3 linked regions of the Arabidopsis thaliana genome follow. The protein of the gene in region 1 purifies or fractionates together with the protein of each later gene. This does not show direct contact. Each region holds a gene or a part of one and is shown on either strand. Other genes may lie near its edges.

Region 1 (3,754 bases):
AGAGTTCTCTGCTTTCCAGGAGCTAACGTCTCAAAACTTGATCGGAAGAACTTTGTTTAATACTAATTTCAAAGTTTCCCCAAATCTCGTTCTGACGTGCATTAGTTATGTTTTGACTCTTCGTTTTCCTCTCCAAAAGTTGCGACTTCCGCGCTTCCCAATAAAGATGCAGAGCTTGGTTGGAACTTGAAAGAACTTTGTGGTGACATTAATAATGCAGAGCTTGGTTGGAACTTGAAAGAACTTTGTGGTGACATTAAAAGGGTCGTATTGTCTCTTCGTTTTCTTCTCCAAAGGTGCGACTTTTGTTATTCCCTTTACGCCTATATAATGGCGGACGCATCTCCCAAGTTTTAAACATATATCCCATTCTCTCCTTACCTTTGAGAGATGTCGACATCCACTGTAGAAACTGGATATGGTGGTCGCATCAGAGTGACAGTGGCTAGAAATGACAGAGACATTACCAGTGAAGTGAGAACATTTCTGTGTAATAAAGAAAACGCGAACAAAATCATCGGTCTGGATACAGAACGATCGGTTGTAGGAGGCGATAGCGAATACCCACCGGAGAGCAAGCTCGTGATTCTCGAGCTCAGTGATGGCCAGAATTGCCTAATAATCCCGCTTCCTTATGTACAAGGTAATAAGCTGCCCGTTTCTCTCACCAATTTCCTCAATCTTCCAGATTTCACCTTTACAGGTGTTGGTATAAACAAGGCTTTGAAAATGCTCAAGAGCGAGTGTGGTTTGACCTGCAAGAATGCCGTTGATATCGGACCTTCGTCGTGGGCCTCTCTCAGCTAGATTCGTGGCGAGATCAAACTTCATTTCAGTCATTGGGTCTCGTTTTGGAAACCAACAAGCCCTATCTATGAAGATTGGGACAATGACAGTCTTACCGAGGATCAGATCAATCTTGCAGCAGCGAATGCTTACTTGGCTTTCAAAGTTGGGAATTTGATTAGAGAAGCTATGTATTGAGTCATGCCTCTGTTTGTTTTTTTGTTTGTTTCGGTCTCTCCTATGTTTTGTCTTGTTTTGCTCGTCAATTGCCTGCAGTTCAATGGACGATTTTGTCACCATCTTAAATCATTTTGGCCCCAAGGTCTAATATTTGGTAAGGTATGCCCGTATGGGATTGTTACTTGTTAGAAACTTCATCACTTTGCAACACGCGACATTCGTAAATCGCAACCCCCATTACTTTACCCGGCTACCAAAGGGTTGAATCTTCTCACCAAAATAATTTAGTCCATAAAAGGTACAAATATTCGGCTTGTCATCTCGTTAATTATTGGGCTGGGCCTGAAATTTTAAAACCTATTACAAATCTATTATTAGCCCACAAACCTGGAACAGTTGGGCTCTTTTAAAAATTTAAAATTATGGGTACTGGAATCCAACGGCAGAGACAATGGATAAGCCTACAATCGTTATTAGACCTTTTTAGTCTGTCTGATTGTGTACAGAAGATTTGTTTCAGTTTAGGCATTATTGCATTTTGAAGACTTGATGGAATGGTTTATGTGTTGCCATGAAGAACTTATTCAGGAAGATAAAATCTAACGTTATGACATTACTAATATTTGCCTCATGAATCTTAAAGGTCAAGACAGCTGTACTACATGCATTTAACTTTCGACTCTTCGGTTTCCTCTCCAAATGATGTGGCTTTTGAAATCTAACGTTATGACATTACTAATATTTGCCTCATGAATCTTAAAGGTCAAGACAGCTGTACTACATGCATTTAACTTTCGACTCTTCGGTTTCCTCTCCAAATGATGTGGCTTTTGAAATTCCCTTTTACCTATAAAGATGCAAGTATATCTTGAGCACTTGGATTCATCATGTACCCTCATTATTCCAGTAAAATATGAATTCGAAGTGTTAAGACGATAATTTCAGTATATTCAGATATTGGGCCGGCCTGACAACTTTATACTTATTACAAAAGCCTATATTAGCCAACATAACTAACACTTGGCTCCTTTTCCAAATATTTTGAGGGGGCTAAAGTATATATTGTTTAGATTTGGGGTCAAATTGAAAATTATAATTAAACTTAAGCCGCCTCTCTCTTCTTCTAACTCACGCAGCCGAACCCTAGCTTTCATAAAATTTTCATTCATCATCGTTCTTGCTTCTTGCTAAAGGCCTTGCCTTGTGCTTCCTCGTCCTATCTCTCTTACCTCCGTAATTTGTTCGTAAGAGAAGTATCGTGATGGGTACTGAGAGAAAGAGGAAAATTAGTCTGTTCGATGTTATGGACGATCCGTCTGCTCCGGCGAAGAACGCCAAAACCAGTGGTCTTCCCGACGGCGGAATCAACAGTCTGATCAATAAATGGAACGGGAAGCCTTATTCACAGAGATATTATGACATTCTGGAGAAACGGAGGACTCTACCTGTCTGGCTGCAGAAAGAGGAGTTTCTCAAAACGTTGAACAACAATCAAACCCTAATTCTGGTTGGTGAAACCGGTAGTGGTAAAACTACTCAGGTAAAGTTTTCATCTTTTCCATTCAGATATTTGGAATTTGATATGTAGGCTTGGGAATGATTGTATATGGAGGAGAGTTTCTTTTGTCTAGAGAATGAAAGGCTAATGCTGAATTTTGTTTATTTGTACAGATTCCACAGTTTGTGATAGATGCTGTGGATGCTGAAACATCGGATAAGCGTAGGAAGTGGTTGGTTGGATGCACACAGCCTCGTAGAGTTGCTGCCATGTCTGTGTCCCGTCGTGTTGCTGAAGAGATGGATGTAACTATTGGGGAAGAAGTTGGTTACAGCATCCGTTTCGAGGACTGCAGTAGCCCCAGAACGGTTCTTAAGTAAGCATTGTCTCTTCTTTTAGCTTCTCATCTTTATAATTGATGTATTTGTGGACTTGTATCTAATCATGTGTTACTCACTATGACCAGGTACTTGACTGATGGTATGCTCCTGAGAGAAGCAATGGCGGACCCTCTTCTAGAGAGATACAAAGTCATTATTCTTGATGAGGCCCACGAAAGGACTCTAGCCACAGATGTGCTGTTTGGTCTTCTGAAAGAAGTGTTGAAAAATAGACCTGATCTTAAGTTAGTTGTGATGAGTGCAACTCTAGAAGCTGAAAAGTTTCAGGATTATTTTAGCGGTGCTCCTCTGATGAAAGTTCCTGGTAGGCTTCATCCAGTTGAGATCTTTTACACTCAGGAGCCTGAGAGGGACTATCTTGAGGCTGCTATTAGAACTGTTGTCCAGATTCACATGTGTGAGCCACCTGGCGATATTCTTGTTTTCTTAACTGGGGAGGAGGAGATTGAAGATGCATGCCGCAAAATCAATAAAGAGGTTGGTAATCTTGGGGATCAAGTGGGGCCTATTAAAGTAGTGCCACTGTATTCTACTCTTCCACCTGCGATGCAGCAGAAGATATTTGATCCTGCTCCAGAGCCTGTAACAGAAGGTGGTCCTCCTGGGAGAAAGATTGTTGTCTCCACTAACATTGCTGAGACTTCTCTCACCATAGATGGGATTGTCTACGTCATTGACCCTGGTTTTGCTAAGCAAAAAGTCTATAACCCTCGAATCCGTGTTGAGTCTTTGTTGGTGTCCCCAATTTCAAAGGCAAGTGCTCACCAGAGATCTGGTCGTGCCGGTAGAACACGGCCTGGAAAATGCTTCAGGCTTTACACAGAGAAGAGTTTTAATAATGACTTGCAGCCGCAGACGTATCCTGAAATATTGAGATCAAACCTTGCAA
Region 2 (3,754 bases), on another chromosome or scaffold:
TCGATTGGATTACAGTCGTCAACAGCTAGCTTAATGCGTTGGACAGACCATTTATATTGTCTGAATTAACAATGTTGATGTAGATATGGTAGTGTGGTCACTGGTGTGTCTTTTATTTGCTGGAAATGTTAAAACTTTTGTTATGTTTTTGTAGGTTGTGACATGTGGAAGCATTCCTTTGGAATCTTCGTTCCAAAGAACACCAAGATGCGTTTATGTATCCACGGAGTTGTATGAATACAAAGGTTTTGGTGGGAAATCCGCAAACCCAAAACATCGATGCTTTTCTTGGGGATCTAGACATGCAGAGGTTAGTTTCTTTTTCTCCTCTTGCAAAAGGACCATTTGTCTCAGTGATTTGGTCAAAGTTTTCAGATCTTATATGACAAGAAAAGATGGTGAAGTTTGATGATTCTTGTTGTGGTTATATTTCTTTGGCAGAAATATGTGTCGGATTTTTACATCTCGGATTTCCAATCTGGATTGCGAGCACTAGTAAAAGCAGGATATGGATCAAAAGTTTCTCCTTTTGTCAAACCGGCGACAGTGGCTAATGTAACAACGCAGAACAAAGATTTATCTCCCAGCTTCTTAAAGTGGCTGTCAGATCGCAACCTCTCAGCTGATGACCGTGTTATGCGTCTCAAAGAAGGGTATGTTATATTCAACACGCATCTTAAACTGTTCTTCGGGTTGCACGAAGTATCTTAGCCAAAATCTAAAAATAACGTTATTAGAGTCACTATCCAAACCTTGGATCCTTATTTTACCCAAATTACAACCTTTTAAACCCTGATTTCTTTAGTAGAATGGGAAGTATTAAACTGTTGATGTAGGCGTTTACTTTGACTGGTACCGTTGGTTATTCTTCCACATTAAAAGTCACAGTAATGGAAAAAGATGTGATGAGACATGTATTGTAGGAAGAAATCCAGCAACTATTGTCAACGTTAACGGCTTAAACATCTCACATCAGTGCATGATAAGTCTGAAGTTAAAGGGCTTAGAAGTTTGAATTAAGTCTAAAGCTAATGAGACCCAAAAGTCACCGTTTCTAGTACAAATGATCGTTTTTAGTACACAAGAAAGCTCATTGGTTTCACTTTTGCTGTCAAAGAGAATCCCTTTGTTACTGATTTAAAATCATATTTGATTGTGTGTGATGCAACAGATACATAAAAGAAGGAAGCACAGTGAGCGTGATGGGGATGGTAAGAAGGCACGACAACGTTCTGATGATAGTTCCTCCGGCAGAAGCAGTCTCCAGTGGGTGCCGGTGGTGGCACTGCCTCTTCCCAACCTACGCAGATGGCTTAATCATAACCTGCGACGATAATCAAAACGCTGATGTCATTCCTGTCTGAAACCAATATGTATGTAATGCTTCTTTTGCCCGATATTCAAATATAAAAATGCTTAAACAGTTAGGCTCACGAGACTGAAGGAAGGAAGAGAAGAGAAGAGAAGAGAGGGAATGAGAGGACAGCCAAATTGGTTCAAAAAGAAAACCAAATAGGCTTTGCCTTTTACCTTATTAGCTTTTGTTTTTCTTTCTTAATTCTGTTTTTTTTTTTTGCCCCTTGTATGGGGTTTATGTTTGTGTACATAGAGCCCCAAAGTGTAAATGCTCTTTTCTGTTAAAATAATTATTATGTCCTATCCACTATTCTTATCCACCAAGGAAACCTTAGGCATCTCTGCAATAGGTGCATGCAATGTTGTGCTAGTAAACAAGTAAGCATGAAAGCCGCAGAGAAGCTGATGACAACAAAGCCCATGTAGAAGCCTTTGATTGGTTTCCATAGTGGAAACTTAAAACTTAAAGCCCAAATGTGGAAAATAAAAGACAGCCCAAAACTTACCCATTTAATTTACGGTCTCTCACTCTGCTTGTGAATAGCGAAAACACAAAACCCCAAACTCTCTCTACGAAGGCGGATGCACGCTTCTCTGTCTCCCTCCACTCTCGAGTCTCGTCCCCTCTGGTCAGTTTTATGCTCACCGTATGACCGATTAATATCGATTATTGGTTGATCTCATCCCCCTTATAGGCTCACATGTTTTGATAGTAATGAATTGAATTATCAATTATGGGTTTGGGATTGAATTCTTTGTTTTTTTAGTAAAGCACAACACTTTATGTTAGATTCTCTATCTGCTTTCATTGATGTTAGCTGATGGGTTTGTCCAAATTTCACTCTTTTTTTGTTATGTAATGAAATTGAGAATTATGGTTCTGAGCTAGGATCCATCCTTTCTTTGTAAAGGAGTGTACTTTATCTTAGATTCTGCATTGATTTCAGCTGGTTGGTTTGTCCAAGTTTCATTCTTTTTCTGATGGAAGTATCTTTTCAGTTTTACTCATGTTTACTTATCTCACAGTGGCTTTTTTGTTTTGTTTGCAGTGTGTGATTATCTTCTTTGGTGTTGTTGATGCTGGAGATCTCTTATTCAGATTGATCACGCCTGAAAGGTTTATTAGGATTTGGCAAAAGGATGGATAGAATCAACGGTCTATCAGATCTCTTCTGATTTGAATTCTAGGGCGTTTGTTTGGAAGAATCATTGCTTCTTTGGTTGAGGATCTTTGTGAAACGCTGGGATTTTGTGTTCTAGACTTCTAGGGTTTTTGAAGCAAGCTGTAGCATAAGGAAAATTTTGAGAATGAAAGGTGAAAGAGAAGTTAAGAATGGTGTTTCTGAGGAAGAGAGAGAAGTGAAGAGGAAGAGAGTGATGGAACGGTCTGATTCACCACCTCCACCACTAGGTTTCAACAATCCTCTTCTGCCGTTGGCTAATACTTACGATGATGATGATGAGGAAGAGGAGAACGAGCAGAAGAAATCGCAAGCTCGTGGTAATGGAGTTGCGAAAGGGGAGGGAAATGGTAACAAAGTGAAAGGAGAAGCTCAAGAAGAGGTCGATGACGACGAAGATGATGATGTCTCGAAGGGTAAGGGAAAGCATTCACGCCATGTTGAAGTTCGCCGTGATTGTCCTTATCTTGATACCGTTAATCGTCAGGTAATTAATTTCTTGATTGTAATCTTTGATCAATGGTTATGTTTCTGCTGTCTTCATTGTATAATCGTTTTTGGTGTTGAGTATCTAAACTCATGTTGTATGTTGAATTTCAGGTGTTGGATTTTGATTTTGAGAGGTTTTGCTCTGTGTCCTTGTCAAATCTGAATGTGTATGCGTGTCTTGTTTGTGGGAAGTACTTCCAAGGAAGAAGCCAGAAGTCTCATGCTTATACACATAGCTTGGAAGCAGGACACCACGTTTACATCAATCTTCTGACAGAGAAGGTTTATTGTCTTCCTGATAGTTACGAGATCAATGACCCTTCTTTGGATGACATTCGCCATGTTTTAAACCCAAGGTATATTAGATCTTGTGACTACTACTTCATAGTTCTTACTGCATTTTGTGTATTGATTTGTGAACATGTGAGCCTTTGCACGTAGTTAACAACAACAAAATTGCTTTGACTATTATCTCAATCAGTTTCTTCTTGCTAGTTCTCTGTATCATCTACCATCTATTTATATTTTTATTCTTGATAGCTTGAACATATTACTCTTCTTTCATGTCTTGTCAAATTTTCTTTGATTTTACAGTTCCTTTTTATGAAGGCTTCGGTGTTATCCATTTACAGGTTTAGTAGAGCACAAGTAAACGAGCTTGACAAGAATAGGCAGTGGTCTAGGGCTCTTGATGGCTCCGACTATCTTCCAGGAATGGTAATCCTTTC
Region 3 (3,754 bases), on another chromosome or scaffold:
ATCAGATCCGGTTGGGTAAGGATCCGAAAAAGTCGAACCGGGTTGTTCCTCGAGGACATTTGGTGGTTCATGTCGGCGAATCAGACGATGACACGCGGCGAGTTGTGGTGCCGGTGATTTACTTTAATCATCCATTGTTTGGAGAATTGTTGGAGCAAGCGGAGCGGGTTCATGGGTTTGATCAACCGGGTCGGATCACTATTCCTTGTCGGGTTTCGGATTTTGAAAAAGTCCAGTTGAGGATCGCTGCATGGGATCATTGCCGCAGGAAAAATTCTTACAAGATTATATAATTTGAATTTATAAAATAGTCAAAAATCAAAAGAGGATTAAAAAAATTTATATACACTTATACAGTACAGAGAAGGATGATTTCCTTTAATTTGTGAATATTAGTTTTTTTTACCATCTATGTTATACGATAAATACCGATTCATAAATACAAGATAATTATTTGTATCAGTTTATTTCATGGATGATAGACCACATTGACATCCTATAATACTATATGGTTTAGATTTATGTGTGTAATTTTATAAGTTAGAACAAAACTGAAATTATGTTCTAACTTATAAAATTACACACATAAAAACTGAAATTAAAAAAAAAAAACAGAAAAAACTGAAATTGGGCTATCAGTATTTTTGAATACTTATATTTCAATATATCAAATACAGTGAGTGATGGTGTATTGCTGTATCTGAAACCTATCATCCACTATAAACCCCAATTGAAGTGAAACAATCAATATTTAGAATTTCCATATAATGTTAATTATGAAATTACTTCTATCTAAATATATTTCAGAAGAATTTTTGAGATACCACTTTTATGATTTTTATTTTTTTTTAATAATACCACTGTTTTTTTTTTTTGTTAATTTTCAATGTAACACAAAATGCAATCATAGAATTTGTTTTATTAACTTTTATAGAGCATATTATAAAAACGTTTATAAAGTTTCTATAATGCATAATATCAAACATTTATAAGATTTTTCACAAAATTTTTAATGTTTTATAGTGCTTAGAAGATTTTTCTTAAGAAATGATATGAAACTAGAATTTTTGAACAACCTTTTTCTGGTCTTTTTGAAAAATGGTATCATAAAGGTGGTAATTTTCAAAATTTCCCAAATTTGAATACAAATTCAAATCATATTGTAGGAAAGTGATCAAATATGTTAAAATTTAGAAGATGAGGTGAGAACAAATGTGCAGAGGAGATGCACTTGCTAAATTTGCATCTTCATGTGATTTGTATTTTGCTTTTTAGATTGTAGTTTACCACTTTGGTTGGTTACAAGTATTTGGAGAAACCATGTACTACTTGTTCTTTGAGTATTAATATATATGATTATATGTGGTATGTTTAGAAAAAAACAAAAAAACCAAATATCAAACCTAAACTTATTAAAAGTAAAGACACATTTGATTAAAACCTAAACCAAAAACGTACAAAACTATTCGCTTATGATGATATTATTTATCATAACCAAAACTTTAATCACCATACATACCTCCGATTTGGTTTTCTCTCCCAAACTGGTCGTCTTCTCACCTCTGGTTTACTACTACTTCGGATTGAAGAATTTTGATCGTCTCGTTGCTAACTCCACGATGTCTTTCTGACGCTTAATCTTCTGACAGAAGACAAAGACATAGCATAAAAAAGTAAGCACAGAACATAAACGGATGTTTATTCTTTTCTAGACGGTATATTTACATAAATAACGAATCACTTATCAAAAAGCTGGAGTAGCTCAGTTGGTTAGAGCGTGTGGCTGTTAACCACAAGGTCAGAGGTTCGACCCCTTTCTCTAGCGTTTCTTTTCCTTTTGTATTTTTAAGATTTAAAAACATTTTTCCACGGCTACAAAAGAACATTCTCGACATACACAAAAAAATTCGAAATTTCGAGAACTCTCTTGTGCCTTCTTCTTCATCTTCCTCTGTTTTTAAAAATGCAATCAAGCAGATTCTCACGATACCTAAACCAAATCCAATTCAATGGCGGAAGAAGCAAAATCCAAAGGAAACGCAGCTTTCTCTTCCGGCGATTACGCCACCGCAATAACCCATTTCACAGAAGCAATCAACCTTTCACCAACCAATCACATCCTCTACTCAAACAGATCCGCTTCTTACGCTTCTCTCCACCGTTACGAAGAAGCTTTATCAGACGCGAAGAAGACTATAGAGCTTAAACCTGATTGGTCTAAAGGATATAGCCGATTAGGTGCTGCGTTTATTGGATTGTCCAAGTTTGATGAAGCGGTTGATTCGTATAAGAAAGGATTAGAGATTGATCCGAGTAATGAGATGCTTAAATCGGGATTAGCTGATGCTTCGAGATCTAGGGTTTCGTCAAAGTCGAATCCTTTTGTTGATGCGTTTCAAGGGAAGGAGATGTGGGAGAAGTTGACGGCGGATCCGGGGACTAGGGTTTATTTGGAGCAGGATGATTTTGTTAAGACGATGAAGGAGATTCAGAGGAACCCTAATAATCTTAATTTGTATATGAAGGATAAGAGAGTTATGAAGGCTTTAGGGGTTTTGTTGAATGTGAAGTTTGGTGGATCTAGTGGTGAAGATACTGAGATGAAGGAGGCTGATGAGAGGAAAGAGCCTGAACCGGAGATGGAACCTATGGAGTTGACGGAGGAGGAGAGGCAGAAGAAGGAGAGAAAGGAGAAGGCTTTGAAGGAGAAAGGGGAAGGAAATGTTGCTTATAAGAAGAAGGATTTTGGGAGAGCTGTTGAACATTATACTAAGGCCATGGAGCTCGATGATGAGGATATTTCGTATTTGACGAATCGTGCTGCTGTTTATCTTGAGATGGGGAAGGTATTAAGTCTTATACTTGGCTTAAAAGTTAAACCTTTAGGTACTTTAAGATTAAGGAGGAGATCTTGGGTTCTTGAAGTAGCTTATCTGTTTAGTATAGCTTGTCACTAGTTAGTACATTTGTGATGACCTTGATGGGTTTTGATAACTTTCATCTGCTTCTTGTTGGAGATTTAAGAGTTTTGAACTTAAGTTTTCACTTGTGCTGAAAGTAGTTAGCTTTAGATGAGGTAGAAATTTAGGGTTTATGGCTTCATGATGGAGTTTATTCACTTGTTCTGTAGAAGTGGTTATCTTTATTATTACTGGAATCAATTAATCTTCAAGTATCCTGAGTGGTTCAATTCCATTGGTCTATGTGTTCTTGCATTAGTCTTGTTTAATTAACAGTTGGTTCATCTGGATCTTACTGTATCTTGTGTGATGTTTTACTTCATTTCTCAAATGAAATTATCAGTACGAGGAGTGCATTGAAGACTGTGACAAGGCTGTTGAAAGAGGCAGAGAACTTCGTTCTGACTTCAAGATGATAGCAAGAGCTCTGACTAGAAAAGGATCTGCTCTAGTGAAAATGGCGAGATGCTCGAAAGACTTTGAGCCTGCGATTGAGACTTTCCAGAAAGCTCTTACAGAGCATCGTAATCCAGATACATTGAAGAAACTGAACGATGCTGAGAAAGTCAAGAAAGAGCTGGAGCAACAGGAGTACTTTGATCCTACGATAGCCGAGGAGGAGCGAGAGAAAGGTATATATACTGATCCTCAGTTACACTTACTATCTTGAAACGTGATTTGATTTTAGGATTAAGCATTTGACACTTCTTCATTGATGCAGGTAATGGATTCTTTAAAGAACAAAAGTATCCAGAGGCAGTGAAGCATTATTCAGAAGCAATCAAAAGAAACCC

The links.
Region 2: the proteins of AT3G62310 (region 1) and AT4G22285 fractionate together in Arabidopsis thaliana (co-fractionation; one large-scale study listed by BioGRID). This does not show direct contact.
Region 3: the proteins of AT3G62310 (region 1) and Hop3 fractionate together in Arabidopsis thaliana (co-fractionation; one large-scale study listed by BioGRID). This does not show direct contact.

The regions. Positions count from the first base shown.
Region 1 is NC_003074.8:23,059,035-23,062,788, reverse strand, and holds the start of AT3G62310 (RNA helicase family protein), read left to right. Parts: upstream 1-2,057; 5' UTR 2,058-2,227; coding exon 2,228-2,506; intron 2,507-2,637; coding exon 2,638-2,840; intron 2,841-2,930; coding exon 2,931-3,754. Other genes in the region: AT3G62320 (Polynucleotidyl transferase, ribonuclease H-like superfamily protein), read left to right, coding at 391-788, 867-984. UniProt on the Arabidopsis thaliana protein: May be involved in pre-mRNA splicing.
Region 2 is NC_003075.7:11,780,809-11,784,562, reverse strand, and holds the start of AT4G22285 (Ubiquitin C-terminal hydrolases superfamily protein), read left to right. Parts: upstream 1-1,867; 5' UTR 1,868-1,985; intron 1,986-2,405; 5' UTR 2,406-2,664; coding exon 2,665-3,024; intron 3,025-3,137; coding exon 3,138-3,382; intron 3,383-3,658; coding exon 3,659-3,743; intron 3,744-3,754. Other genes in the region: AT4G22290 (Ubiquitin-specific protease family C19-related protein), read left to right, coding at 155-310, 442-653, 1,172-1,364.
Region 3 is NC_003075.7:7,339,495-7,343,248, reverse strand, and holds the start of Hop3 (stress-inducible protein), read left to right. Parts: upstream 1-1,887; 5' UTR 1,888-2,009; coding exon 2,010-2,846; intron 2,847-3,303; coding exon 3,304-3,592; intron 3,593-3,681; coding exon 3,682-3,754. Other genes in the region: AT4G12410 (SAUR-like auxin-responsive protein family), read left to right, coding at 1-293. UniProt on the Arabidopsis thaliana protein: Mediates the association of the molecular chaperones HSP70 and HSP90. Mediates nuclear encoded chloroplast preproteins binding to HSP90 prior to chloroplastic sorting. Involved in acclimation to heat.